Linked DNA regions of Lepisosteus oculatus. The protein of the gene in region 1 purifies or fractionates together with the protein of each later gene. This does not show direct contact. Links are inferred from orthologs where the notes say so. Each region holds a gene or a part of one and is shown on either strand. Other genes may lie near its edges.

Evidence for each region.
Region 2: the proteins of cdc42bpb (region 1) and protein FAM167A purify together in Homo sapiens (co-immunoprecipitation; 3 studies listed by BioGRID and IntAct, counting the BioPlex papers as one, with this or other methods). This does not show direct contact. The link is inferred for Lepisosteus oculatus from reciprocal best matches to the Homo sapiens genes CDC42BPB and FAM167A.

What each region holds. Positions count from the first base shown.
Region 1 is NC_090703.1:6,635,497-6,650,995, reverse strand, and holds the start of cdc42bpb (serine/threonine-protein kinase MRCK beta), read left to right. Parts: upstream 1-9,650; 5' UTR 9,651-10,345; coding exon 10,346-10,520; intron 10,521-15,499. UniProt on the Homo sapiens protein: Serine/threonine-protein kinase which is an important downstream effector of CDC42 and plays a role in the regulation of cytoskeleton reorganization and cell migration. Regulates actin cytoskeletal reorganization via phosphorylation of PPP1R12C and MYL9/MLC2.
Region 2 is NC_090697.1:56,588,610-56,603,892, forward strand, and holds the start of protein FAM167A, read left to right. Parts: upstream 1-7,522; 5' UTR 7,523-7,827; intron 7,828-15,283. Other genes in the region: enpp5 (ectonucleotide pyrophosphatase/phosphodiesterase family member 5), read right to left, coding at 1-52.

The DNA.
Region 1 (15,499 bases):
CGAATTAATAAGAATTATTTATCTTGTTATTTCCATAAGACAGCATAAATGCCACTTGCTAGAATATGTCAGTGTTCAATAATTTAGGAAGAAGTATCATTTACAAGCATAGTTAAACAAACCATCTTTTACACATGTATCTCACTTGTTACATGAGGGAATAACAGGTACTGTAAATGACGCAGTATAAGATTACGTAGTAATATAGAGACAAGAATACTGTCATTAAAGGAGTGACTGGAGTCATTTATTTGACACGGATACCATGACTGTGTTTTATTAATGGTGTTTCAGTGAACCTGTCATTGCTTAAGGGCAGCTATACTGTACATCTTGGGAGTTCAAACTGTATGTGCAGTCTGTGGATGCATGCACTGTACACAAAGAAAACTGCAGTGCTTATTCTGAAGCAGGGGTCTGCAACCCTGATCCTGAAACTCCAGTCCCATGAGTCTTTCAAGGCACCCTAAACTGCTTGTTTCTAAAAACCAGGAACACTTAAATGTTATTGATCAGCTAAGCAAGTAATGTGCTCAATTAAGGGACCTCTGCTCCCTGAGGGATAGATTTCTTTCCACATGACTTAATTTACCAATTCACCTACAGCTGATCCCAGCTGAATTGTTCCTGGAATTTGCAAACTGATGATTTAATGATTAGGCATAAAATCTAACTGCCCTACAGTTTGAGAACCTGTGCTAGAAAAAGTGTCTCAAACATAATTTATGTACAGACTGCAAAATAAAACACAACATTTTAAAAGAAACATATAACGACACAATATTTTTGTTATTACATACCCATCTGCACAGCCTTGTGCCATGTGGCAGGCTGTGCTGATTCAATCAGCAGAGTCAATGCTGATTGGAGGGGCTGTACCTCTCTCGCTGACATCACTGCATGTCAGCAGGGGCCCAGCAAATAGCAGGAGTTGCTATTGAGCCAAGGGCTCAGTTAAGGATTCCTTATTAATTTCAAACCTATCCTGGGAACACATAGCCAATTGCAATAGCTTTCCTGGGGGAGGGGGTTAAAAATTAAAATACCTATACTTGACCTCTGTCAGTGAAACAGTTACTTGCCATGGTTCAAACAAGCTCTTGAAGACTCCGCCCCCACAGTGATGCATGCTGCTGCAGGATTGGGCACAGGGGAGCAGAGCCGGATTTTTATTGGACGATGCAATGTTTAAGAGTGAGTTTGCAGAGGGGATGAAAAACTTCCTGAGTCTATTACCTTTACACCTGGGGACACAGAGGAGGGGGTGAGACACACACTCCATAGTGCTTCTTAACTACCCACTGCTTGTAGGGGGCATTAAGGTGGATCTGATCTACCCCAGAGATTTTGCTACTTTGCTGTTCATCAGATAAGTTGACAAAGTTAGCTCGAGTTGGAAGTGCAACACAAGTAATACGCTTGGGCAGATTGAAACAGTAAGATTGAAAAGGTGTTGGAATAGTGTGAACCCCAAGCAGTAAGGACACGAGCCTGGTGCGGTGTACTCCAGGTTTGGAGCGCGTAAGAACACTGGGAAAATCACGTTGCCGGCCTGAGAGACGAGATCAGACTGGAGGATGTTATTGAGAGTTGAGGGACCACAAGTGTTATTTAATAGATGAGTCCTGAAGCCTTGTGTTATCACAGATACTGTAGTGCAGACTCTGCCCCAGTCTGCCACAGCCGTTGTGCATCGGAGCTGCAGTCAATACGTTACACTGGCTCAGAGCTCCCCCTGCTGGTCGGATTGGATTTCACTCCGGTGTTGGGGAGGAAAATGGAAATTCAGATTGTTCAGATCTAACCGCCTGTTTCTTAGTTTAACCATTTAAATTCTAGCTCCACCGTCGGTATAGTAGTCACAAAATCTGTGGGACGTGAGAGCAGTTCCAGTTTCAGCCCACAGTCCACCTGTTGCGTACTCTGATGCTCGTCTGCCTCGTTCTCGGCTGATTTGACTCCTCAGTGCCTGACGGGAGAGCCAGCGGTGACGTCATGAGGAAGACCCCGGAGCCGAGGCACGAGCAACGCTGAACACAGATCCAGCTGGTGAGCTCAATCGCCCAGGCTGAACAAATAGCATGAAATACCATCTTTTTTAGCTTGTTATACAGGAGGGAACATGGCAGACAGCCCTATGTGCGATACGAAAGACTTCTGGAAGCCTAGACTTCAGGGTCAAGTAGTTCGTTTTTTAATTATTCAAACTTCCTTTATCTCGTTTCTTTGTTTAAGAATTAAGCTAATGTAGAGAAACGCTTGTTTTTTTTTTAAAAAAAAACTTTTTATTCTTCTGGAATTGTGATGAAAGAAAAAAGAACTTTAAAATAAAAATAACTTTAAGCAAACATACTCCAGGCTGCAGATTGCTCTTTGCTTTACAATCACCTACATCGCCTGTCTGAGCCCTGCACCGGAACACAAAAGAAATGCAAATCAGAGTGGCAGGGAGAAATTTAAATGACGACCCCCCTCCCCAATGCACCCAATGCAAAATACAACATTTGGGTAACCAGGCTGTAGAGGAGCAGAGCCGAGTCTGCTCGCGCGGAGCGGAGATTTCCATTTCAATGGGGAGCGGCACGCGCCGGCCCGGGCGTTCTGCAGGGCAGGTGCGCTCGCTCTGCCCTTGAGAGCATCTCCCTCCCCCGTCTCGTCTACAACAATCACTCGCTGATCATCCCCCCCCTCCTCTCTCGCTGCCGTTGCTCGGAGTAAATATTGTGTCATTTGCTTAACTGTCGTTCCCTTCCCCGGGCATTGTTTCCGCGCGTTGCCATCAATTCTTTTCATGCTGCGCTCAAGCTGCAGGGTCTGCGTTGTCAAGCGGCTCATTACACGTTGACGGACGCCGCCCCACGCCCCACGCATGCTTGGTGCGCTGTTTGCCGCTGGGGGGCGACAGTGAGACGGGCGCGTCTGCCTTTCTCCCGCATGCCCGTGGTCCGGCATGAGAGAGAAGACGGGGACGATCTAACGAGTTCGGGTGATGACCGGTCTGGGGCACTGGAGAAGCAGGCCTTGGTGTGCTTGAAAATCCAGCAATGCTTTAATCCAGCCACAGGATCGAGGGCCCAAGCATCGCATTGGATAAAGCTGTTGAGAAAATGAATGGAGGGGTTAATACTGATAAAACATGAAAGCAGAGCTGCTCATAAACAGTACTAAGTGTAATCAAGAGTAGTTTCACTGCCTGAGCATGCTGATTTTAATCTCCGCTAAAACTCGGGGGTGAAACATTTCCTTTTGTGTCTGGGGAACCCCTGGACAGTCCCTGTGGTCTGTAGCTCTGCTTGCGGTTTCTGTGGAGGAGCATCTTCATCCTGACTAGGCCCTCTTGCGAACAGACAGTCCCAGGTCTGCCCCAGGGAGACAGGCCGCCCGCCTGCGCACCTACATTAACAACGCTGGTCTCTGACGCGCCCAGAAATGAATGCTGGGACACAAGGATGACCACCTGAATCGCAGTCGGTCTGTGTGGTTACATTTCAGGCAACAGATCTGATTAAGGCCAGTTCTGAAACCCAGAAACTGGTACAGGAGTGATACAAATTAAAAATCCCACTAGTAACTGGCTTGAGCAAAACCCAGAAGAGACAACTGTTCCCCAGAACCAGGGCTGGTAACCACTGTCCCCTTCCCCTCCTCCGCCTACTACTGAACATAAAGTAGTTCTTGTAACTTTCTTGACAGTATCTTGGGGGCTACAGTGTGTGGTTAAAGAACTCACCTCCGGTTGCACCTTGTTTTACACCAAATGCATCCATCTCTGTAATTCTTAAAAGTCCCCAGTCCCCAGTAATTCGGTTTGCAGTGAAACGCAGAAGTTCTGTTTTCTTGCAGTATTTCTGGGAACTCACCTGATCAGCTTCTGGCTTCCCGACTCCGTCTGTTGCGTACATGTGTGTTTGTCTCCCCCTGGTGGGAATACGCCACATTACCACTGATATTACAGTATTACAGCATGTCACTTTCAGATTAATTCAATTCAACTTTATTGTCATTAAACTTACACAGGTGCATAGTATAATGAAAAGTGTTTCTCATTAGTCACTCAGGTGCAGTATATAAATAGGACAGAAGATAAGACAATAGACAGTTACACAATAGCAATAACAGTAACGTAATAACATAAAATAAATAACATGTAATCAAGTAATCAAAAGTATCGATTAAATCGAACTGATTTCAAGTTAAACTTCAAAATTAGCAATACTTCCCCTTTTGGAAGCTATAAATATAAATGCATAATCATTTCAAAATGTGATGTGTATATATATATATCAAGATTAATGCATTCCAAATTTGAGCTATGTATGTGCACCTTAATTCAACACGTTATCTAAATATTTTTCTGTTCGACACCCCTTAGTAATGAGGCCGCTGACATCTGGGAGTTTTAGATAACAGTAAATATTCCGAAAACCCTTTTTCTTTCAACCTTTTAAATTCTGCATAAAATCTGGTACCACAGATGTATTTATTTCGGTATGTATGCTAACCCCTGAGGCCCTCAGATTTTACAAAGGATAACAATAATGAATTAATCTTATTTGAAATATACTATTTGTATTGTGTATGTATTGTGATTGTGCCACAATGAAGTATTATTCTACTTACGTTTATGACAACGCTGCTTTAAGAATCAAACATTCAGATCTGTTTTGACTAGTAAATCTGTATAACACTGAAACGTAATTCTTAGAATTACACATTTAAAAATCAAAGTATTTCCGCGTATCACGGTGTTCACAGCACCGTAGCACCAATCCAAACCAACAGCAATGTCATTTTCAAACAATTTTGTCCCTCCAGGTGGCGTCCTGTACAAACTTTTAATAGAAGAGAAATTGTGGAATTCCCGCGTGGTAACAAAGTTGTAATCGTAATCAGATTTTTTTTTTAAAATCAATGACGGTGAATATTTAATGCTGTAAGTCGGACATTCACATTTTTAAACTTTTTAAGACGCACTGTCGTCGGCCTGTGTTCCTTTTTGAGGAGGTGTCTGCCAGAACAATTTCAAGGACTGTGAAAAGCGCAGACTTTAAATCGAGAGCACTGTTAAAATTGTATTAAGAAACTGGTTTCTAGTAGCTCATCGATCCAAGGATCCCATCCAGCCCTTTCTTTCAGGGCACAGGCTACAACAACACTGCGGGGTGTTTTGTTCCATACACCCACAACCCTTTGTGCAAAGAAACGCCTGGTGGTCTCAGTTTTGAGCCCTCTGGTTCCTGTTTCACGGCTGATCCCGAAGAAGCCCACTGGGGTCGCCTTTGTCAGTGCCTTGGAGGATTTGGTGAGGTCTCTTCATAGTCTTCCCTATTCCAGACTAAGGAGGTTCACCCTCTCCGGCCTGTCAGAGTGGAGCCTGCGGGTGCTGAGGTTGCCTCTGGGCCTTTGGCTCAGCTCCTTTGGTTTCTGTTGCTCATCAGCTGCTGGGCCCTTCTGCTCGGGGGCTACCTGCGCTCCTCTTACGCAGAAACTCATTTGCAGTCATCAGCCACTATTCTTGAATTCAAAAGAGACTGAATTTAAACAGATCTCTTTTTTAGAAAATAGCTGCGATGTTTTTGGAATGGCTGCATTGTTTCAGACGTGGGCTGGCCTTATGGGTAAAACCCACACTCTTCTGTGGCTGGCTGGGGTTCGAGTTCCCCTGAGGACAGCGAAGGGGTACACGCAGCTGACACGGCGCTCGGCTGTCTGTGCTCACTGCCCTTCACACAGGAATGTCTGCTTCCAGGATCACTGTGCTTCGGCAGGCAGGGCGGCCGAGCTGTGGTGAATCTAATGGTCGCTGAGTTACTCATGCACGGCCAGCAGACGAACAGACGTTTTAAGCCTTTCGGTTAAGGCAGGGAATGCTAAACAAGGGCCACATACTACACCAAGCACTCCGTCACCTCTCAGGAGGACCCCTTGTCGGCTATTCACCACCACTAGGCCATTTTTCATTCTTCACCGCACCCCACATTGACTCCCCCCTGTGTTCAATTACCTGTCCACCCGTCCATCCTGGGACACCAGCCCATCCCCGGACACACGCAGAGGGGACAAGAGAGATGGATTGTGGGGAAAAAAACTGGAGCACCTGGAGAAAACCCACATGGCACCAGGCAGAACATGCAAACTCCTCACAGAAGGCACCCCTGTGCTGGATTCGAACCTGAAACATGGATCTGTGAGGCAGTAGCACAATGCACCACAACACCACGCTGTCCTACAGGACAAATTGGCCTCCCCAGTCCTCAAGTCGGGAACAAAATCTCGGGCTTAATACTACTAGTATTTTAATGTTGTCCTTTGTTAGTTTACATTGTTCGCCTTATTATCAAAACTTGCCGTTTGTCCGTCGTGTCGGGGGCTCGTGTCTTTGTCCTCATTTGCCCGTTCCCCCTTGCTCTCTGCCCGTCTCTCTTCTGACCCACTTGGAAAATCGGCGTATGTGCAGCTACATATCTGACCCGTGAGAAATGGAATGTTCCACTTTCCGTCTCTGAAAGCTAAATAAAGACCTTGACAAATGCTGAATCCGTGGAATGCAGAATTGCGGTGGGGGTGCTGGTTCAGCCAACCACCCTCCCCGAGCTGCTTGTTGTCTGAGAATGCTGAGTTACCGGCGGACTGGTTTATGACACAGGCTGTGGAATGTGAGGGGATATTAACTCCGAAACACAGGATGGACACACATGACACAGCACGGACACAGCTGAGTCACAGGACTCGCAGTCGAGTGACGCACTGCTGATCGGTCACTGGGGTGTTGAGGTGAAATCTCAAGGCCCGCTGTGCTGCTATAATGAGGTCAGAGGCAGAGCCTCACTCACGAGCTCTGCTCTAGCTGGGAAGCAGGATAGGGTAACAATGCAAACAGCCCTCATTGTCTGAAACATCTGCAATGGCAAATGCCCGTTTTCCCCTGCAAAATTGCTTCTCTCTGTTTATATTTTAGCAAAATGATTCCCCTGTCTCTGGATCAGAGTAGCTCTAGTTTGTAGTTCTTAGCACACAAAATATGCAAAACTGGAAAACATTATTTTACAGACTTAAAGTAAAACTATTGCAAGGTTTATTTATCGTTATTGGATCAAAGAGAAATATTTGTTTATTTCCAATGAAACTGCATCCAATGGTCTACTGATCACATGGTATTTACACAACAAATTAAATGGTTTGTCCCAACTTCCATGTCTTTCTCCCTGCAATGTTTGCATTTTATTAAAATGTTTTCAGCATTTTATTCTTTAAAACTGTGTATGATTATCATGTAGACACAGTGGAATTAAAAATATATTCATGCATTTTCAATACATGTACAGTGGCTATACACTGTGCAGAGATCAGTAGATATGTGTCTAGCAATGCATATATTATTCTATGTAGGTACATATAGTATCTTGCTCTAATGCCTTGCTATTTCTGCAGTGTAAAGGAGGGGTCCCACTATAGCTGTAGTAGTTGGTGAGTATAACATAACATGGCTTTATCAGCCCTATACAATTCCTTTTACAAGTCTTTTAGGAATTAGTCTTCATACTCCAGGTTGCTCTCCATGAGACACAGACAGGGAGAGAAGCTGGGGGTCAGAGCGCAGGGTCAGCCATTATACAGAGCCCCTGGAGCAGTTGGGGTGAAGGGCCTTGCTCAGGGGCCAAACAGAGTAGGATTCCTCTGCCAGCTGCGGGATTTGAACCGGCAACCTTCCAGCCACAGGCGCAGGTCCTGAGCCGCAGAGCCACCACTCCGCCCAGCTGTCCATACGGAGTACGTACCAGTTGCACAATTTGTAGGGGTGTGTGTGTGAGGACAGCCCATTGACAAAGGACTGGTGCCTCCAGTCCTCAAGGCTGGTCTCTGTGGGCGAACAGCTCTTCCCAAAGGTTACTGGGGGGTCATCACCTCACCATGTCCTACCGCCCATCTGCGCTGCCCAGGATATCCTGCCGGCACAGGAAAAACAAAAAAAAAACAGCCTTTCTACCTTTGAGGCAGGAATTACACATGATTTAAAAACTAATGGCATTGAAGAAAAACCTGTGAGAAAGGATATTAGGAAAAGACCAAGAGTGAACAGCGTTGTCATCTGATTTTCTGTGGATATGCGTCCTGGTTACTTGTTGTCGGAGAACAGGATGAGCACAGATATATGACGATGGCTATTCAGAATAATTAGGCCAAGGAGCTGTAAGAGCCTAAATAACATTGGAAATAATTTTGTACTTTTCCCTGTGTGGTAAACATGAACTAATGAAATAGCTGTACCTTACAAACACTGTTAAATAACTGTAAAATCTACCTGGTGTAGAAAAAAAAGGCTTTAGGTCAATAATCTAAAATAATGAGGAATTATGAATGGATTGCTGCCATGAGAATTGAGTTTACTTTTATTGATTATACTGTAGGCGTCCGGTGTGCCTCCAGTCCAAATGCATAAAGTCATCGATAGCAGTTAAGAATATCATAGGTTATAAAATCAAGAAAATGGCAACTAATCAGTGTGATGTTAGTTATTAGTTAGTTATTATTAATAAGAGGGGTCACTCCTAGGTCCCACGTAGCCAGCCTGGAAGGACAGACTCAATAACAAAGACTCAGAGGCTATTTATCAGAAATCATCAGCAACACAGTTATTTATCTTTTTTTTCCTCCAGGAAAAAATAAGGGATATTTACTGTCTTCATGTGAGCTGCGTAACTATAGAGAAAAGCTATTAACGTTTGAGGAACCTCTAAAATAATCTCTTAATCTTTTCTCATACCAGTTTTCACTTTCAGGATGTCTGCTTGTTTTCTTGTGTTGGGTTTTATTTGCTTTAAACGACTGGCCAGTTAACCACGCTATATCTTTAAAGTGACGTCTTATTTGTTTGATACAGGACCTTGACGGTAAAGTACACATGATAAGGTTATCTGCAGATAAAACGTATTTTACTGCAGTGCTGAGGCAACATTGCAGCTGCCGACCCCAGGAATTATAACATGGGCAAGCAGGGGTTGAGATCGCCTGCCGGAGTACAGTCTCGTTTTGAATTCAGTGTGAGGGCTACTTGAGACATTTTAATCTGCAAGTATACCAGGTCTGTTACCACGTTTCGCTTCGGGTTTCGTTTCGAACCGCAGCTTCCTTCAGCACCACTAAGTATTTCAGCTAACAGTAGATCCCACGCCATCAACACCTTTGGGAGCTGCGTATCCCCCTTGCTCAGACCTCAAGTCACGGTGCTTGCTCCAATTCGGTGGGAAAGGTGTGTATTTTCATTGCAAAAGGAGACGGTTGGCACAATGCAGAAACAAGACAGCGGAACAAAACCGGACAAACTTATTGAACAGTACAGTATAGAACAGCAAACGTATAGGAACGTATAGGAAGGCTAGCTGGGGCAGAATGCCTTCAGTACGCTGCGTTTTTGGCATGTCCACATAACACTGCTCCAAGCAGCTTGTTACTGCAGAAGCTAATAAAGGAGCCAAACACAGGGCCACCTCTGTAAATGCGTGTTTGTTCCCTTCCAGCGTACGAGCCGTGCGGTGTCTTCCAAGGGTGAAGTCCGTGCCAGCTCTCTTCCCGGCGGTTGTCAATCAGCACATGACGTCACCCGGCTCGGTAGCGTTTCCGGTGTGGATGGGTGGGCGGGGCGCTGTGGTCCCGGCCTGGATTCACAGAGAGAGAGAGGGAGGGCTGGGAAGAGGCTTCAGCCATATTCTACACACTGCCGCTACCGGGCAAGTTGGAGCCGTTCAAAGGAAGATAAATATCGTGATCTTCAGAGGCCGGAAGGGGAGACCTAGAATTCATCCGCTTGCAAAGATGTATTCCGTTTTACGGTCATGGGGATATCATAGTTTGCATTCTTAAAGCACTGCGGATGGAAGGCGTGTGTTAGCTGAGCCTCGCTCGACGGGAAAAAAAACAACCTGAGACATCCCCTCACCCCCCCCCCGCCCCTTCCGAGTGGAAAGTAGAGATTTGTTCAGGATTAGATCAAATGGGACAAGCTGGGCCCGGAATCCGAACGTAGAAGGACATGGTGGCGACGGGAGCAGCCCAGGCCGGGGGAGAAGACCGCAGAATCCCGTTTTAACAAAATGTCGGGTTTATTCTAGCTGAGGGAGTCTGGGAATCGGCAGTGCACCTCGGCCAGATAAATCCTCTGCTTTTCGCTTGCAGAGGAGGCGGCAGCAGGGTCATCCCCATCCCCCGGCGCGCTTCCCGGTGGAAATTTGTCGGGGGGGGTGCCCGATTTTCTTGGAAAGGAGCGGAGGAGAGAGAAGGAGAAGGAGGAGGTGGGGAGGGAGAGAGGGGGGTTGCGCAGGCTGTTATACCACCGCGGCGTTAGAAAATGTCAGCGAAGGTGAGGCTGAAGAAGTTGGAGCAGCTGCTCCTGGACGGGCATCAGAAGAACGACAGCGCCCTGAGCGTGGAGACCCTGCTGGACCTGCTGATCTGCCTGCACAACGAGTGCAGCAGCTCGCCCCTGCGCCGCGAGAAGAACGTGTCCGAGTTTCTGGAATGGGGTGAGTACGAGCCGGGCGCTCCGGGCCGGCGTTCCCGAACTCTCCGGGCCGGCGTTCCCGAACGCTCGTTCCGCGGAACCATTCTGTCTGCCGGGACCCACAGCGCTGGTGACAGCAGCCGGGCCTGGCTGTGATTTACACGGGCTCTGTCTCTCTCTCTCTGTGTCTGTCTCTCTTCTTCGGGTCGCCGAAGGGCCCTGGCTCCCGGCTCCCCCACCCGAAAAAACAACGAAAAAGCCTGAATGGTGGTGGCCTCGATCGTTTTTGGGCCGGGCCGGGTCGGGCGTGCTCGCTCGCTGGCGGGGTTGGAGCCGAGCAGGAAACTTGCTCCGTTGTTAGGGGTGCTGCGATGCGCAGAAAGGCGACGTCCGGAGCAGCTTGCGCGGTGACACAACGTGCAGGGAAAACTGGGCTTTTTTTTTTCTTCTTCTTCTTCTTCTTCTTCTTCTTCAACGGCGACCTTGATTGAGACGTTGAAAGCTGGACCCGTTACAGTGAGGGAGAGCGTGTGTGTGTGTGGGGAGGGGGTTACGTCCGGACAAAGCGAGCACTTTTAAGTTTTGCGATATACAAATATTAAGCCTCCGCGTTAGGGTCACCAGTGAATGTCACCACCACCACCTCCGGCGGTCTTGTCCGTGCGGAAGCGCCTTGTGCCTTACTCGGGGTTTACTCCCAGCGTGCGAACCGCGCCGGCCTGTGCTCTGAAGTTAAAGCGCCCCAGCCGGTCTTCAGTCAGGGGGGCGTTTTATCTGTGCGCCTCTGGGTTACAAAGCAACAGACTTCGGTACAGCCGGCAGCTTTCTGAAGCCCCCAGGTGTGGAGTTAAGTACTTCGTGGCATTGGGCATGCCTCTCTTTCTCTGCAAGGGTACTGACAAAAGCAGACACTCCACCACCGGTAGGTGGGTGGCTGGAGAACGTTTTGGTCTTCGTTGTTTTAAGACGGGGGTCAGTACGTCACGACCCGTCTTGAATCAGGGCCTTCGGATTCCCTGATGTTTTGCGAAGGGTTTCGGGTTTAAGAAGCCAGGTGAGAAGGTTTGCCGAGGTGTACACAAGGAAAACTCCACACCTACCATACACTCGCATGTGTGATAGTAGATGATGTTCTCTGGATGAGAGCTTGGGTCGCTGGCAGACTTAAGCGCCGGGAGACTGTGGAGGTAGGCAGGCGACTTGTGCTGGTTCGACAGACGCTTGGGATCACTGGCCAAGCTGTCCGGTCGCTGTCCGTGCAGGCGCCCTGCGCCGGCACCTGGGTGCTGTTCCGTCTCCGGCGCTGGCTCCCGGCCGGCCCCGGGATCCACATCAGCGCACTAAGAGGATTGGCTTCCTGGAGCGCCGTGCTGACGTCAGCGATGGGATTACACACCGTCGGATCTGCTCCCCCAGCTCCGCGGCCCGGTGCTTCCCGGCCCCCGCGGGAGCTGTCTGCCGGAGCGGGAAAGGAGGGAGAGGACACAGGTGCAGCCTGGGCCGGCCAGGGCTCCTGCAGGCCTTCTGTTAACGGGCAATGAACCAGCGGATGGCAGTTTCCATTTTCATCATCATCATCATCATTGTCGTTCTTATTACTAATCTGGCAGGAGGACGAGCCCAGGTACGCTTGGATCCGCTCAGATCCCGGGAAGCGGACCACGCAGCGCTTGCGTCCCGCTGCTGGGAGAGAGAACTGCCCTCCCAGCCGCGCGTTCCAGGTCCCGGATCACTAGTGCGGCCCTGCAACGCGAGCACAGGCGTGGGCGTCTCTCGGAGCTACAGGGGCACCGCGGAGTTCTCACCCACAGTGCAGTGCGGAGGAGGCGCTGTGCTGCGGTTCAGTAGTGTCGTAACCGTCTCCTGTAACGGCAAGGCGTGTTAAGGTTCCCCTTAACACCAGAGCGACGGAGCGATGCGGAGGGGAGATGCGGCCTTTGGCCCTGGCCCGCTCGTCCAGATGGCTCTATTGATCCAGGGCTTGTCCGTCAGTGGAAACAGTTGCTCAGCGGGTGGCTACGTTGTCTCCCCGGAATTCTGTTCCGTACCCTCGCCCGTCCCCGTGTGGAGGGCAGGAGCGCCTGATCTGCCCCGCGGCGTTCTCGTGGGCCAGAGGGCGCAGTGGTGCCCTGGGGTCCAGCAGTAGAAATCGCAGCCCTGCGGGGCTGACAGGTATTTGGCTGGGCTGCTGTGGTGTTCCCAGCGCCGCACGCTGCCGGGACATTAATAGCAGGGTCTTATCAGCTGTGTGTCTGAGCTGCGTGCAGCCCTTAAAGCGCCCTTGATAGCAGTCAAGTGTCCAGTTGTGACCAATCTGAGCCCAGTTACCATCGGAGTCCAGCCGGAGTGTCGTCTTATAACTCACTGAGCTCACAGTGGGGTCCGTAATTCGGCTGTAGTGTCACTAGCAAGAGCTTTGGTCCTGGTAGCCTTGGCTTTTGATGTGATGAATCGGCATAATTTTCGGCAGATTCACCAGGGTCTTTCGTCCCCTGGTTGTCCTGGACACTGCTGTAAATGAGCACATTTAATATATGGACCTAGTTTTCTGTACTTATGTGTGCCATGTGGATTTAGAAGAGTATAGCCTTGCCTAAGAATTGTGCACTGTTCAACTCGGGCTCGGAACTAAATAGGTCTGTGCTCTCCTGTTTTTCTGATGCAGTCTAAACCCAGGTTTTCTGGACAGTCGGACAATCGGCAGCACTCAGCTAAGTGCTGAACTGAAGAAAGAATATGAGATTCATTTTCCGTATAATGACGATATTCCCTGCATTTGTGCTTATTTTAATATTTTATTTTTCATTAGGCATTGTGCGACTCTATTAAAATTGTATTTGGAATGAGAGTGTAAAAGCTGTGCGTTAGACCTAGCAGACTCCATTTTAGAATTTAATTTCCATTCTTCCAACATTTCTTTTTTTTTTTCCTTGACAAATGAGAGCGTTCATGCGTTACAATTTCAGGCAGCATCATGGGTGAATCGTAAGCCCTGCTTTCCAGGCCGAATTAGACTCCGAATCTGCACGGATGAGTTTTGAGCAGATTAAACCCGGTGAGATATAGCTTTATCCCTGCATTAACAGCCACTGTTGACCTTCTGTGTTCACTACTGTTTGCCTGTGCTTTAATGAAACCAAGTTAATACGCCCTGTTAAGTGAATAAAATAAGCAGGTTAATGCTTTGCTTGCTTGCCTTCTAAAGATGTCCGTGGAGGCTGTGAGGAGGGCTTGCTGTGCTGTCCACAGTGCCAAGAGGAACAGGAGAGCGTTACCTGTGTCCGATAGAAATGTGCATAAGCAAGGTTATACATGAGAGGAGGCCCTTCGGCTCAGTGGGCAGTAAGGAGTTTATTGGAACAAGTAAAGGGTTATTCCATGCTGAGAAGAGAAGCAGCTCAACGTTTCGGCTGTGGAAACGTCCTCAGGTGTGCGAGCCGAAGAAGGCCCACGGCCTAAATGTGCTTCTTGTCTTCTCTTTCCAGCGTGGAATAACCCTTTACGTGTTCCTCGGCAGTCTAGGCCTGCTGACGCAGCGCCCTTGCCCGAACAACTGGTCGCTTATCGATCCAGTGATCTCACCCAGCCACATCTTAAAGGAACTCCCACAGCTTGTCCCACACTCCCGCACTCCCTGTGGATAAAGAAGCGCCTCCCGTCCTCAGTTTTCAACACACCTCCGCGTAGTTTCCACCTGTGCTTGGCTCCCCCCCCGCCGGGGCGTGTTGAGGTGTGCGGGGCCGAGACGGTGTTGGTGCCCCCAGGGGTGCGGAGGTGGAGCGGCGCTGGGAGGGACGAGGAGGCTGGGAGTCTCCTGAGGAAGAGCGGAGAGGAGGTCAGGGAGGGAGGCAGGGAGGCACACCTGCTGCAGGACCGGGTGGTTTTCTGTCAGGCTCAGCTGTTGGAGCAGACCTTACGAAAACACGGAAACCGAACAAGGAAAAGGGTTAAAAAACCCCAACAAATCGCTAGACAGAAGTTCACACCACCTCGGGGTTCTCACAACCTTATTTCCAGTTGCGCTACTCCTTCCCTTCTTTTCAGACAGGTGACAGAGGGGGGAGGGTTGTCTCGCGTATGAAGTGCTCGGCTCCAGCAGTGCTTGGGAAAGATTCCCAATGCCGCTTGTAGTGGCATTTATTTTTGGGGGGGGGTGGGGTGGATCGATTTCCCAATGTCCGAATGCGAACGTGACTGAAGATGAGCTGAGACGCGCAGAACCAGAAGAGGGCGGACATCCGGTTGGACCATCGCTGCCCTCGGCTGTGCAGCGGGCAAAACTCAGTTGGAGGTATTCGAGAGATGGTTTGAAACCGAAATCTGATTGCTCCCTTATCCTGCAAGGACCGGAGTTTTTGTAATTGAGCAGATTAGGGTCTTAATTGATTAACTTAACAGTGGTTGCCGATCGTCGGACGCGGGTGGCTTATATGATTAACATGTAGCTCTCCAGGACTGGGGTTGGGGTAGGAAGTGCTCTTTTGCCCACTTAATCTCCCCATCATGTTTCTAGCAGTACTTTATTTTAAACCAATCCTATTTTATGGCCCTTCTTCCTCAGGACTAAGTAAATCCATCACTCGTTCCTTGTGCATGTAGCGTCTTGTCCTCCCTCCACTTTAGCAGATTAGTGGTAGGAGTGTGATGCAAATGATACATGATGCATGTCCACACTTGGTGTAGAAAGAAGAACATGGAGTCGCATTTGTAAAGTAATGGGCAATTTGTTCAGGGTGGGAAAATAGGAGATTCGTCTTTGCGCAATAAAAAGTTGTTTCTCTAGAACTGGCTTCAAGTATTCAACACAAGTATTTCATTTCAGACCCTGCGAGACCAATGTTGCAGCTTTTTTTTTTGTAGCAACGTTGAGCTTCCAAGCATTGTACAGGGTTTGCAAGTCGTGTCAGTTGATTTATGCAGCCAGAGGTAAGAAACATGTGAGGAAGAAGGACAGCTGGTGCTTTATCATAGATACAGAACTGAAGAGCCAAAGTTTGAGTA
Region 2 (15,283 bases), on another chromosome or scaffold:
GACCTAGAAATGTCCACAAGCACCAGCTGATCTCCAAGCTGTAGTAAGGCATTGTAATAATGGGGCTGTTTTGTTTCTGGAGGAAGGATGGAAGAGGTAAAAAGGAAGGTTAAATATGTTGAATTAAATGTTGCACTACGATATTGCATGTTCACAAAGTGAGCATATGCCACAGACGTGAGAAACGGATCATCTGCTTTGCATGTAACCGCATATCAGATTTGCGCCAAGTACCCTACACACCTTATTATATTTACTATCGGGAAGTTCCAAAAGCTGACCTTTCGTGGATTCAATAAATGCATTCTACGTAATAAGACAAAATGCAGTAGAATTATTTTAAAAGATTACCTCATGCGAAAAACACTGCAAAAGTAGCAGTCCTCCGGCGGATGTCATCCGATAGAGATCATTGTTTCAATTTTGAAGCCACCAAATATTAAGAATTAGAATGGCTTTTATATTGCGTCTTAACGTTTACAGCACTTCCGTCTTTTGCAGTTTAAAAATAACCATTCAAAAACGTTTCAGATACAGCGCAATAGGCTATACATCACACTGACTTCAGTGCGATATAGAACATCAGTCAACATTTAAAATTACACCTCACGCCATCTGAGATTTAAGAAACACAAGGTTAAGAAAACGGCCATAATACGTAGTCTTTAATTTACACGATCACTTTATCCACCGATGGACAGAAGTTGCACATACTGTACACTGTAGAGCAATTGTTGATTGATCATTCTTTATTATTTTGTTACCCCAGAATTGCAACAATTAAATATACAGTGCAATGTAGCAGAATACTCAAAAGAAGCGTGTGGAGCGATAGCACTCTCCCCAATAATAATTCATAAACCTATAATCTCTCACCTTATGGGCCAAGATCAATTCCACCAAAACAGACAGACCTCTCGCACACAGGAAGTCCCGCCCTTGTTTTGGGGATAGGTTAGCTAGAAAGATCTACTGAACTGTCAATCAGAAAGAGACGGCACAGAGGATGCTTGGATCACTTTTTGAAACAAGTGCAGCAAGTGACGCTGGGTAATGAAGTGAGGTTTTTCCCAAATATTACTAAAATCATCGCGGAGTAAATCTAAAGACGGTGGTGGGGGTTTGAAGAACGTACTTTTCAAGTTGTTGAAATAGAACCCAGTTTTAAAACAAAAAAAACTTTAATGAGCTTGTATATATTCAGTCAAAGCTCCCGTTGTTTCTTTCAAACCACAATCTATTCTCTTTATAGCTATCAAACAGACATTCTAGTAAAGAAGTAGTTCAGGCTGGTAGCTGCGTCACCATGCGTAGGCTGCAAAGAAAATAGTAATAGGTTTATTCCATGCTGAAAAGAGAAGAAAGAAAACGTTTTGGCTATGGAGTCTTCTTCGGGTGTAAGAAAGATAGGGCATTCAGTCTCTGCTGACCCATTGCTTGCCCCTTTCTAGTAAACATGTTATCGCTCCTAGAAATCGATCATTTACTAACAAAGCGGATACTCGCAACATGACCGCTTTTTAACTCCAAACTCCAAACTCCAAACTCCAAACTCCAAACTCCAAACTCCAAACTCCAAACTCCAAACTCCAAACTCCAAACTCCAAACTCCAAACTCCAAACTCCAAACTCCAAACTCCAAACTCCAAACTCCAAACTCCAAACTCCAAACTCCAAACTCCAAACTCCAAACTCCAAACTCCAAACTCCAAACTCCAAACTCCAAACTCCAAACTCCAAACTCCAAACTCCAAACTCCAAACTCCAAACTCCAAACTCCAAACTCCAAACTCCAAACTCCAAACACTTGCTCCTTTCCACCTCTGTCTCTATACTCGATATACTAACGAAAGCAAAGACATACACAAACAGCTGATTTTATTCTGAAATAATCAGACTCACTACAGTTAAACACAGGTGTGGGATAATTAGCTTTTTGTGGGATTTGGAAGGTGATTGGTTACACCACAGCTAATTTACAATTGTTTTATTATGGGGTGTGTACACTTACTGTATCTACCCCATTCTCAAATAAATAAATTCTACTTAAATGTGTCTTCATTTAAAACTGTTAGATCACAAAATGTGTAACTTTGTAAATGTTGTATACTCTATATACTGTATGTCTGTGTTCTATTTTTTAAAAGAACCATCTCTAAACCAGTTCTTAAAGTATCATAGTTAATTTTCCTGGAACATATCCAATAACAAACTTCTGGTCAGCTTTTGTATACAACCTAGACTTTAGATTTTTTTAGATACTGTATAAAGGAGAAAACCAACACCTTCTATGAATGTAGTTGCACTAGCTCCAGGCCTTGAGGTTGCAGAGATTTTACTGTAGTAATTGTTTGGACTAATTAGTATTATTTAGTTTTAATTAGTAGGCAACTATTAGTCAGTTTTAAATGGCTAAAAGCTGGCCATGGAAAGACATCAATATTGTTTTCTTATAGTTTTGCCACTGTGGTGACCCTTTGGGTTCCAGGATGTTACTTGTCTCTTGCAAAGCTGATTTCATAGTTTATCTAAACTAGTCTATTATTCTGAGGAAAGAGAAAATGATAAGGATGAAGCAAATGTTTCCAAGTAGCTACACAAGCATTGAGACTTTAGTTTTGACTTGAGGCTTTGTACTAACATGTATCTTACTGTTCTTAAAGAAACATTAACTCCTGTATTTGAAGCAAAGTAATTTTCAAGATTTCTTCTGAATCTCTACTATCTCAAAGAAAAGAATATGTGGAATGTTACATTAGTTTTTGAATGTTTCTTTCTTCCTTGACCTCTTCAGTTGTCAAGTGTGTCAGTTTCTGGGACGGGTTTGAAATACGAACCTCCATTAGAGTCTTTTAACATTAAATTAAATCAATGAAATTTTACTGCAATTTCTCAATAAGAGTAGTCTTAATACGCTTAAACTGTTATTTTTCTGTGCTCTTGTTCTGTGAAATTTTCTTCCCATATGCCATTGTGTTCACCACATATTTAGAAATCTATAGTGGTATCAGTGCCTAGACTAATCCAGGCTTCGGGGTGGTATAGCACTAGCACAATATAACAATATATCAATATAACACCATATTAGGTAACATTTCACAAAAAAATGTTGATACCCACTCTTTCCTTTGCTTGCATAATTATTGCCGGTACTTTTACAAACTCACATTTCTGAACAACCACAAATGCAATGCAGTCTTATAATGCAGGACCTAATGCAGACACCCATGCAGAAGTATGACATTTGCACCATGGATAGAAAATATGCACAATTACACTGTGACAATAAATAGTAATAATTCTTTTAATATAACGCCCTGCATACAGAATATCACTTTGTGAATCTGGGATTGAATTGAACCAATTTTGATTTTTTCCACCAGAGGTCAGTCACTCCCTTTCTTCAGTGTATGATCTGAACCACCCTCAGAAAGATCTTCTGTAAATCCCAGCGCATGTCACTACAGTAATAGATTTGATGGAGTAAAAGTCAAGTCATTTTATATACTGACACCATCTAGATCACAACAAAGTGGTCAATGTTAAAAACAATGTTGGATATTGATCATTATAATATTCATATATCTGTTTTACTATATTTTGAACATTATGTTTTCTGTGTTTATCATACTGTATATGTTAATTTTATTTTATTTTATTTTTACATTGTATCTTTACAAAACAAAATCAACAAAGTACCAGATAGTACAAAGTGTAGTACTAAGAAACCTATTTCAATGTCTTCTGTGCCAAAGTAAAATGTAATTTATGAACATAACACTACTGTAGAGTAATAAATGTTTTTTAAATAGATGTATGATGTCATCGATGTTGTGGTACTTTCATCACACCCCTACCCTTGGAATTGAAAAGCTTGATCTTACTTTGAAGTACCTCCAAAACACATTTTTATTTCCTTTTAGTCATTATTAGTCTCTTAGGCTTTTACCACCTTCAGATCTCACCTATGCTGCATTTTTTACCATAGCAATCAAGTATTCTCATTGAACTGACCTCTTCATTTTAAACCCAATGCAATTATACACAGATGATCCATCATAGTTTACAAAATAGCTAAAATTAAGATTTCTTCCACTGTTCAAATACACTACTGGATTACTATTTTCCAGGAGACTCTTCTTTAAGAGTAAACTTTAGAGAATCAAAAGTTCATAAAGTTCATCATAATGATCACAAAATCCCTAGGGTTTTTTTATGTTAACTACACCATCCAAACTTGAGGTTTTAACCAGTTGCAATATTTGGTTTATAAAGCAGCTTGAGAGGTCGTGACAGGTCGCCTGACTGAGTTGTATGAACATAACCAAAACATATAGCTTGATTAAAAGGGCTGGGTTTACGTAGAACGGGGTTTTTAAAAAGAAGCCTTAATCTCTGAATTCAAGCAGGGGAAGAGGCAACAGCAGACTCACTCTTTGAGCGCAGCTTTGCACTAAGAACCTGAACCCGTGACAAGCTTGCTCTTGTCACCATGAAGTGTGTTTTGGAATGTAATCAAATACATGATTAAAAATGCTGGAGCTTAACAATTTCAGGCTTTAGGTTGAAAATCAAAACTCTGACTCAATTTTAAGAACAGTTTAAGAAGTAGATCATATGATTAGTTTTTCTGTAGTTGGAGAATTCATGGCATATTTAAGGCTAGATGGAAGGAAGTGGACATCAATTGAAGTAAATATATCCACTGACCAACTTTGACCTTCCTTGAACAACGTGTTGATATGTCAGACCCTTGAAGCCCCAGACTCTTGTATTTTAGAGGCATTTCACACTCCTTTCATGTATGATGGAGCCTTGCACAAAGCCAGTTAGCACTGCTGCATCACAGCTCTTTGTCCTATTTTCTGGCCTATCGTGCCTTCTCTGTGGAGTTTATATCTTCTCTCTTTGTCCGCACAGGTTTTCCTCCCTCTTGCTAGAGATATTCTGGGTCAGCTGTCTTTAAATTGTAACTGTGTGTAAGCATCCTGTGATAGACTGGCAAGCTATCCTTAGTACTTAGTATAATCTCGCCTTGTGCTCCATTCTTCCTGGATAGACTCCAGATTTCTTCAAACATTATCAGGAATAAGTGGCCTTCTGATAATGGATAGATGGATGAGACAGAATGCACAGAGTGTGCTACAGTATGTATTAAAACAAGACAGGGTCATTACCTTACCTATATTTTGATACTACAAATTATAATGCTGAGCTACCCAGAACTTCTTCTGGTTCTTACTGTAACACCTTTCACTGATTACTGTAGTATTGGAAGTTTGTACAGTAATTCCTTGTATAAAACTAAAAGATAATCCAGATTGTTTCCTTTGAATTAGAGCGGTAGTGCATTACAGAACAAAACAATTAATACAAGTATTTTCAATAACGTTTAAATTAGATGTTTTTTTTTATTGTAGAAGGTGTGCTTATATGATTATGGGTGATGTCAACAAGTACAATTTAAATTTCATTTTATGCATTACAGATTTCCAGATTGAGATGCAGTTCTTCGTGTTGCTGTTTTATGATCCCATCTGTACCTGATTTTCATGGAAATGTTGGATATATCAAATAATGCAGCTATTCTGGGAACAGAAGCTGTTCACATATTATCTCTAATGTCCATTTTAACTAGATCTACTCTTCAGTGAACCATAGCTCTTAGTACACTGTAGAGCACATTTGAAGAACAATGATAGTCTGGGCCTGTTTGCTTTCTTAAGAAAAAGACAAGGTGTTATGGTGGAATCATTACCCTTGTGGAATGAGTTTTTGTAGTGTACCTAAAATACAGGGTGGTTTTCAATCACTAGACAATGTCTACAATATTGTAATAATTTAATAAGTTCTGAAATTCATTCCCTGTTTCGTACCATGTTTGAACACACAATTACAATCCACAAGTGGTCAATTAAATTATGCAATAAAACTCGTAGTATGAAGAATGAACACCAATAAGAATCGTGTTCAATGCTGCTATATTAAATCTCTGTAGTATACATTTGCATGCTAAATTTTTCATGCACCCTGTGGATAGAAATCGTACAGTGTCATATCACGTAGGACTAGTGCCACAACAGTCCAACAGTTCTTCACTAAATATACCAAACCTCTAAGATCAAAGGTTTCAAGCAAAAGAAAACAGATGCTGCATTCTATTCTGGTGTAGCAGATTTGATACCCATCTATACATATTTCTAACTGCTTCTTCCAGTTCAGGGTCAGGGTCGTGGAAGAGCTGGAGCTATCCTGGCAATCAACAGGCGCAAGGCAGGGGACACCCTGAAATGGGATGCCAGTCCACCGCAGGGCATACTGACACCGAGGACCAATTTTCCCAGAAGCCAATTAACCCACCTGTATGGGTTTTTTTTTTTGGACAGTGGGAGGAAACCCATGCAAACAAACAAACACCAACAGAGACAGCAACCTGGGTCCAGTACTGGACCTACAGTCCCAGCACTGTGAGACAGCAATAGTAACCACTGTCCCACTGTGCTGCCCACCACCTTTAAGATATGTACTGTAATTAAAGTGTATAAATAATATAAATTCATTCATAATTCAATTTTGAAAGCTTGTAATGATCAGATAAAAAAAATGTTCTATAAATGTCAGGCCAGGCACCTCAAATACAGCATGTCTGCGTTCATCACTACAGGGCTTCATTTAAACACACTTAAGTAACCCTTAAGTATCAGCATATGCAATAGACTTGACTCAGCTTTGCTAAATAATACAGTTGAATGATTTCAGAGTAAAGACAGAAACTTTCCGATGTTTTAGACTTAGCATTCCTGGTCAGTGATGTAACCTGTCTTCCTTTAATTATCTGCTTTATAAAATTACATAATATGCAATGATGGAAAAAGAGACTAAGGATAAAAAAGATGTTTCCCTGAGAATAACAGTCTCTTTATTTTGTTTTATAACTGTGATTTCTGAATATTCCTTGGTTTATATTCTTATACTCATAAGTTTCTTGCTGGGTTAAATTAAAACCAAGTTCAACTGGCAAGAAAGAGCTGTATTATGTTTTATAGGAGGACTTTGGAAGTCATACAATATCAGTTGCTTGGTCTTTATCTCTTAGCTCATAGTTGAACAATTCATTTTACTCAGTTTATTAAGGTAAGTGTTTACCAGAGTGTAAGCTTGTGGTGAGATCTGTAAAGCCTAAGGAACTGTAGCCACCAGGATCACGGCTTCCCACCGCTATATCAGCTGTGGCCATTTACTACCTTGCAACAGGCAGCAATTACAAAAAAGAGGTGCGGTAGGAGTGTGAGAGTAGTGAATTACTCAGTCTTTAATAATACCACACTAGTTAGTTTGAAAGAGAACCACTTATCTCGAAGTAGCCCTTCTAAATTTAAATATAATTTTAATATTTCGTGTAAATATCTGGGGAAAGCTAAATTGTGGTTAACTACCCATCAGAATTTCCATTCGTTGATAAACATGGACGGCTTTAGGACACAGTAGATGCTGTATGATGCTGCACCGTTGATTTACGATTGGCGAATGCATCCAGGGAGCAACAGCAGATTGCAGCAAGTCACAGGAGTGAAAAGGGACCTGTCCGGGATTGCTAAACTGTCTCTAGGCAACCAAAACCTTACGCAAAGTCCCCCTCCCATGCTTCTCAAGATTCAAAAAGCAAAAATGAATGAATAAAGAAGGGTGCCGATTGGTGGGATCCGCATTTTTCGAGCTACAATAATTAGCGAGTGTTTTATTTCTCCAACAGCGATTCTTCAAAGATATTGCAGTGGACAAGCAGATGGAATCAGATATGCATCACCTTTCTCGCAGATGAGACAGGTGAGTCTGCGCAGTTTTTTTCTGATTCCCCAAGGTGGCAAGCTTAGGACCGGAGAAGCCTACAGCCGCTAGGCATCAGCTTTCGAAAGCAAGAATTTCAGATAGGTCTAGCAATGCTTGATAAAATAGTGGTAGTACTGTACATGCAACATCAATTACCGCTTTACAGCAGTAATTCTCACGCTTACCACAACCTGTGCAACAAATAATGTATTTTTCTGACTAGTCTAACTGTACGGTGGAAGTAACTTGAAAGGAGACACTAGTGCATTTTGCGCAACAATCGTGTTAAATTCTAAAGTGCTGCATCTTCGTTCGAATTACATTTCAGATATTCAGGCTGCATAGTAAAAATTAAAGAAGGATAATTTTAAATTACCTTTTTCTGTCTTAATATGGTTCTGGTGTTCGTGTTACCTGACCATTGGTAAACCAGTTTATATACAAACATTTTAAACAATGTAATGTATTTAGGTAAAAAAACCCTGTGATTTCATGTTATTGGAAAGGCAGATTCTTTGCACAATTTATTAATAAAACCATTTTCTTCACTTATTGTTAATTATTCCTTAGGACATTATAATTATTAGGGGTATACGTTACTGTCGTTTAGCTTTATTGGCGTTGATTTGCTTTTAATCGTACATAGCTGTGTATCTATTGTTTATTTTATTAAACCTAATGTTCTCAGCTGTGACCTTATGAAAGGTGTTCATGATGGTTTCACGTGACTTGCACGTTAACAACGGATTAGGATGCTTGGCTTATTCCAGTTGTTTCAAGCCGATAATATCATTGGTGCTCTGTGCAAATTGCCAGTGTCTTAAACACATTAGATTCGTAGTTAACTCTCAGTGATGAACGCTTAAGTGATACACTGTCGCACAATATTGTTGTTTGGTGTGCAGACAGCACGAGATTGACGTGCCTCGCATCTGTTAGTCACCCTTAGCTTATTATTACATGTAACTTCATTTCATAAGCAATACAACTTTCATTTGACTTCCTAGGTTAAGTCACGCTACACTGCAATCCAATAGTTTCTAATTACAAGAAAGTATAACTCTTAAACAGTTAACACGGACTATTTTATGTTTGAATGCTAATTCAGTTACAGTAAATGTGAAGATGATTTATCTCTCACGCTCTAATGTCTAGTATTCTTCAAAAACATGTGTTTCCTCTTTTGCTGATGTACTGTAGTAGGATATTCCATGAGACTGAAAGCTCTTAATGTAGTTTACCTGGTCTAAATGCCTGATACTTTCATGTTTCATGAATGGGTTTGAAAGCCCACAAATGTTTGGACTTGTTGAAAGTGAAAATTGTTACAAAATAAGGATTTGTAGACCTTGTAGGCTTGTTTTTTTTATAAGTAATGTAAAACTTAAAATTCAAGATCCTGCAGATCTGTGCTGGAAATTAAAAAGGAGAGTAATATTAACAGTAATGTTTTTTTTTTCCTACAGGAAAGTGAGGAAAAATCACTTCTCATCAATAGTTTAAGAGTTTTAAGATGATTGTTGTTCACTTGAGCACTTTATTATGTGACTGCATACTAAATTGACCAATTTACCAATTCAATTTTTTGAATTGTTTCGAGTTTTGGAACTGCTGGGTATTAATTTACCTCCAAAATCCATCACTTGAAAAATTCCCCTATTTGAATAATAAAAAAAATCAAATGTACTTTCAGTCTCTAAAACAAATTAATACCTTAGTTCAGAAAACTGGATTGAAAACTGCAGACACTGGGGTGAGAACTAAGACTGGGAAACCTTGTTTTATGAACATGGCAGGGGGGGTCTGTCCAATCTTAGACCTGTGTGAAAAGTTACAGACATTAATTATTGACATAATTGAACCAATTTATCAACTTATCCATGATATTCAGTTGCTGGTGAGAACTACTGAGACTTACTGTACCATGTGAAATCTGTACACATACCACCCCTACAGGACCAAAACTGAGGACTCCTGTTTTAGGGCATTAATTGACTGCCAACTGGAAGCTTTTAGATTAGTGGACAAGGCTGCGATCTGTTGTTGTGAACTTGTTGTGGTGTAACAGTTTATACCCTCAAACTTTTTGTGTAAATTTCCACATTACTACAATGCCTTAGTCTTGAACACCATTGCATTTGGCAGGAGTTTTCAACCTTTTTATAATGGTGTATCAGTTCTGTCCCAAAGCGTCAGATCAAGTAACTCCTTTATACTGTAGATCCTACTGAACGGATTAATTCTGGCAGTTTAACAAGCGAATATCTTAAATATATTTGAATGTCACTTTGGATCTGAAGCTATCAAGTAACTCCCCATTGTCCATTATAAGACAGGCATACCTAAAAGAAGCTAAATTAGTTCTTAAGACATTTTTTTAAAAGTCTCTGATAGTTTATAGTCTGCAAAGTTATTTATTCAGTGTGCACTGTATAATTTATCATAGCATTTGCTTCTCTCTTTACTAGGTAACATCAAAAACTGTTTTAACAACGAAACCTTGCTCACATCAACATACTGTAAATACATGTCCTAGGAGTCTACCAATTTCTTTCTTCAAATTTAGCTAATTCTACAATTTTAGATTCGTCGTTAGTGTGCTACTCCGTCTTGCTTTTTTGATCCCAGGACCAGACAATGAGTTTCTTGGTGATTCCTAGTAATAATTTGCAGTTGTATTAGTAATAACGGGGCGACGATGATGGCCGAGACTCAGTTAAGAGCAAATGCTCTAAGGTTTCCTTGGAGGTTAGCCTGGTTTCTCACCTGTGACACGTTTCTATCAGGCTCGAGTTCATTGACCCTTTGCGAATTGCAGTGCAGTCTGTTAGTTCTGCGTACTCTATTTGGTTGGACATGTGGATGTCTTTAATAAAAAATGGCTTATTTAATGTATTTTAATTTAATGTTTTAGTTTTGTAGTGCTGTTTCGGAAATGTTTCGGGAACCTTACATGAAAGCGCTACTTTTTAAAACTTTCTTGCGTTTTTTTGCTACTGTAGATCACATTACTTTCCAAAAATGTCTACGCTAGTTTCTATAGTCACGAGTTTTACTCATCATGAGACGATTCACATAAGAGGATTTTCAGGGAGTGTTTATTAAGCCCACTGTCAAGTCAAAGAATGCACGATTCTTACTTAAGTTTTGATTATCTTTCACTGAATCTACTTCTCTTTCCTGTTTTGTGTTAGCTCACAATTGTTTTGCAAGAGCCATAAAATGTATTTGACTGAAATTAAAGATACACGGTCTGGAGCTGGTTTAAGAGGGTGACCTGGATCAGTATGGATGAATGAAAGCTCACCGAAAAGAAGTCAGGCATGCTTATAAAGTACATTTTGTGATAAGTTAAATTCATTTTGTAATTAAGAGCACAGTGATGAAGGAATACAATTAAAACATTATAAATGGTAGCCTGTGTAAACACCCAATTGAAAATCTCTTAAATACTGTATTGTAAACACTTGTTTCACAAGGTATTAAGTATACACTACGCTAAAAAGAGAAGACCACATAGATTCAACAAAGGACTGCATTATATAAATTCCCTGCCAGTCAAAGCAGTCATGCTTCAAGTGAAATAAGACTGTTGTTCTTCTCTTAATCGGTATTTGCCCTGGCCTTTTAGGGCGTTCCACCCTCTGAAAGTATGATAACATCATGAGAAAAGAACATTCCCAATATTGCCGAAGAAAAATGACAAAGACACGGTCTTCAGTTAGGCACCCTGCTGCTCTGTCTGGAGTCTCTGCCAACTGTCTTGTGCCAGATCACATTCTTGGAATACAATGTGGATTCATGTCAAGTGGAAACTCCATCTACATTACTGAGTTTTATGATCTGAGTTGCATACAAAAAAAAATTAAATAGGTGCTCATGTGAATCTTCTGTTTAATCATAGGGCTTTGAAATGTTTATTGGAGTTGGTCACATGTCTGAATTTATAACTCCATGTTTGTAAGAACCTACGTCAGTCATTGAGCCTTTGAATCTCAAGGATCCAGTGTCTGGTTTAATGGGATTCCCAAAGTTGTGTGGTATAGTGTTGTGTATATGTAAGGTTGATTAACTTATTTTATTATCATAATCTGGCTGTTACAGTATCTGTTTACATACTACACAAGTCCACCAGTGAAGAGATTTTGCTGGATTATCAATCGGTTTCCTTCAAGGTTCTCCCACCAGTCTAGGTAAATCATGTCACATAATACATTTTCAATCAGGTTTTTGGAATCTTCAGACAATTTGCAGTAAAACATTAACTAGTCTTTTTTAGTGGTTGGAGGAATCTCTCGCCAACTGGATTTTAATACCTGTAAACTTTGATCTGATCAGTATGATTTGTTTTCCCTAAAACAAACTAGAACAATGGAGTTATGTGTAAATCTCATATAGCAGCTTTTTAAAACCTTTTTTTAATGGATGATTTTTAAAAGATTTACCGGCTACTTGCTATTTAAAGTTTAGTTAGATCTGATGGTATCTACCACATTTTATTTGAAGAAATAGATTTTAAGAATAATACCTTACAGAGATTTTGGGTCAATTCATGAGAAGCAGGATCGTACAATATAACAGAAATGCTGTCCATACCATAACTTCAGGGAAAAAACTAAACCAGACAATGACTGTACTTCACAAATGAAGCCAATAACTGTTAATATCTTGTGCAGTAGGTTTGGTCTGGTTTAATAGAAACATACATTGTTTCCACCAGTGCCTTCTGTAAAACTGAATCAGAGGGAGTGTACAATTTGAGATTGCCTTATCATCTCTTTTCATTCTATTATATATATTATATATACGTTCATTACCCAAATGGCCACCAATTTCATGTGTGAATGTTGTGGCAACCCAAAGTCCTGTGGAAGCATAACGCACAATGCAGAATTGCAGTCTGGACATGACACAATTTGCAGGACATGAGTGCACATACACATGGACTCTCTTATATACTGTATAGGTCATTGAATAAAATTATTTTAGTAGGGTATATTCTGACCTTGCAGCTCAGTGATGTGGTGTTTGTCATTGTTGCCTTGGAACACTTGGGCCCTGGGGTCATCTTGGGTTGCTATCTGTGTGGAGTTTGTCTGTTGTCCCTGTGTTCATGTGGGTTTCTTCTGAGTGCTCTGGTTTCCTCCCACAGTCCCACAAAAGTTGACTCTGTTGTAAGTGTGTCTGTGTGTGCCCTGTGATGGACTGGCATCCCATCCAGGTGTATCCTGCCTTGCGCCTTTTGCTTGCTGGGATGGGCTTTGCCTCCTTTGTGACCCTGAGTTGAATAAGTGGCTAGAAAATGGATGGATATTTTGACAAGTGCAGTTCTTGGAGAACCATAAGATCTCTTGGAAGTTGGTATTGGATTGTGCTTCTCTGTGAATTTTTGGGAAGGCTTTACAAGGATTCATATGTTTATTCTGTACCACAGGGGTCAGCTTTTAAGACTTCAGTACTGCTGGGGCATTTTCTTGACATCTCTTTGGTGCTTTTTTTTCATTTGCTCTCTTTAAAGGATGTTACATAATTCAGGGTTATTTCCTGATCCTTAGTTTGTTGCAATTTACAAATGCATAAAAGGACACTACAAAATGGTAAAACTTTGTGAGTAAAGTGTCAGACATGAAACAAACCATTTTCTTGATTCCTCTTAATAGTGATTCTACAAAAAAGTAACTATGTACAATACATAATTATACAACCATTAATCAGCTCTATGTCTAACTATGAATGTAGCCACATACTGTAATATGGTTGTATTGACACTTGATCTTGGTTATGTTTTTCATTATTTTGTAAGTAATGACTGCGCTTGAAAACACATGAGCTCTGAGTTAGGTGCAGTCTGTAGTGAAGTTTTTCCCATTGATACTAAATCAAGGTCCCTTTAAAACTGAGCATCTTAGCTTTTATTGCTTATTTGTGGGGGCGTCAAGAAATATTGAATAAGATTGGTGTTTGTAATAACCATTATTTGGGAATTATGTGGTTAACCTTAAAGGTAGATATTCTTCAAGTCTTAATAGATAATTTGACTGTTTTTTATGCTAGCTACTATATGAAAGGAAAGTTCCTTTAGTATTGTTATAAAGGAAATAAATATAACTTTTTGATGCAATTGTGTAATGTCATGGAAGTAGTATTTTAATAATTCTATTCAGGTGGTTAGTTTTTAGGCTTGTGGTTTTAAAATATCTTTTATTATAGTCTTACTGCTACTCCTATTTTTTTCTCTGTTAGATTTTACTTTTTATTTTCATTTTGATTGAGTTGTCTGGTTGTCCTGCAGAGGATGAACCTTCTTATAAAGTGTGGGATTTTTTTTCTGACATTCTTGTGTTAAGCCACCAAACACATCAGGAAGTAGCAAAAGAATGAGAGCGGGAGCAGTCAGGAAGTTATATGAATGGCAATGCTTTTATCAGAAAGGGGATAAGCGATGAACTTATTAATGCATGATTTATTTCTTTGTGTCATTGGGGAAAAAAGCTTGCTATACTTGTGGAACAAAAAAAGATCAAAGCTTTACTATAACTAATGCTTTTCACTTGACTTTAGTATTAAACCATATTGCCTCAACATAAGGTAGTTTAATAAAAAATAAATGCCTTATAAAACACTATTGATGCCACTTTCAAATAAATATCTATATATATTATTAATTGATTATGGAAGAATTGCTAGAAATTCCCCAGTTATAAAATTTTCAAAACTTGATTTAAATGCTGCAACTCTACGACTTGCATAGAGTGAATTAATAAAACTGCAGACTGTCACGCCACGTCTCTACACTGCTTGCTGACAGCACTAACAGCAAAGATAAAGCATCAGGTGGATAACAGATGTAGTGTATTCAGTAGAAATTGCACAATCTCCAGTATCTGACAAGCCAAAGAAATCCCAGTGCTAGTCAGTTAATGAACCAGCAGTGTTTGGAGTATAAACCCAACCTCCACTCTGTGCAGAGACCTGTACTGCTTTCCACTCTCAAGGTTCCCTTGTTTCAGAAATTTTGATTAAAAATACAGTAGGTCAAACATCTGGAACCTCTGAAGAACACACACACACACACAGGCTCAATCACTGAAGAGATAGCCAATTTGATGTGACAAAATATTGAAAATTATTTTCGCTCTCTGTGTTTACAGTTTAAGATGAGTTTGCTTCACACGATTGTATTATTTCTGATCTGGTATAGATTTTTTTTTGTGTGATTTTAATTTTCTGTTTTTCCATATCACTGGCTTGAATAAATACTTTTTGGTTGTGCAATGTTATAAAAATCTCTCTCCATTTAGATTTGATGCCATAATAGCTTGGCAAGGCAGATGCTTTAACTATCAGTGCAACAGCATTCCAGCAGTGAATTGGAAAATTATACAACGTGAAGGCCTCTATCTCCACCATATTTGGTCCTTCACTTTGTTATATCATTTCCACCCCTTTGTTT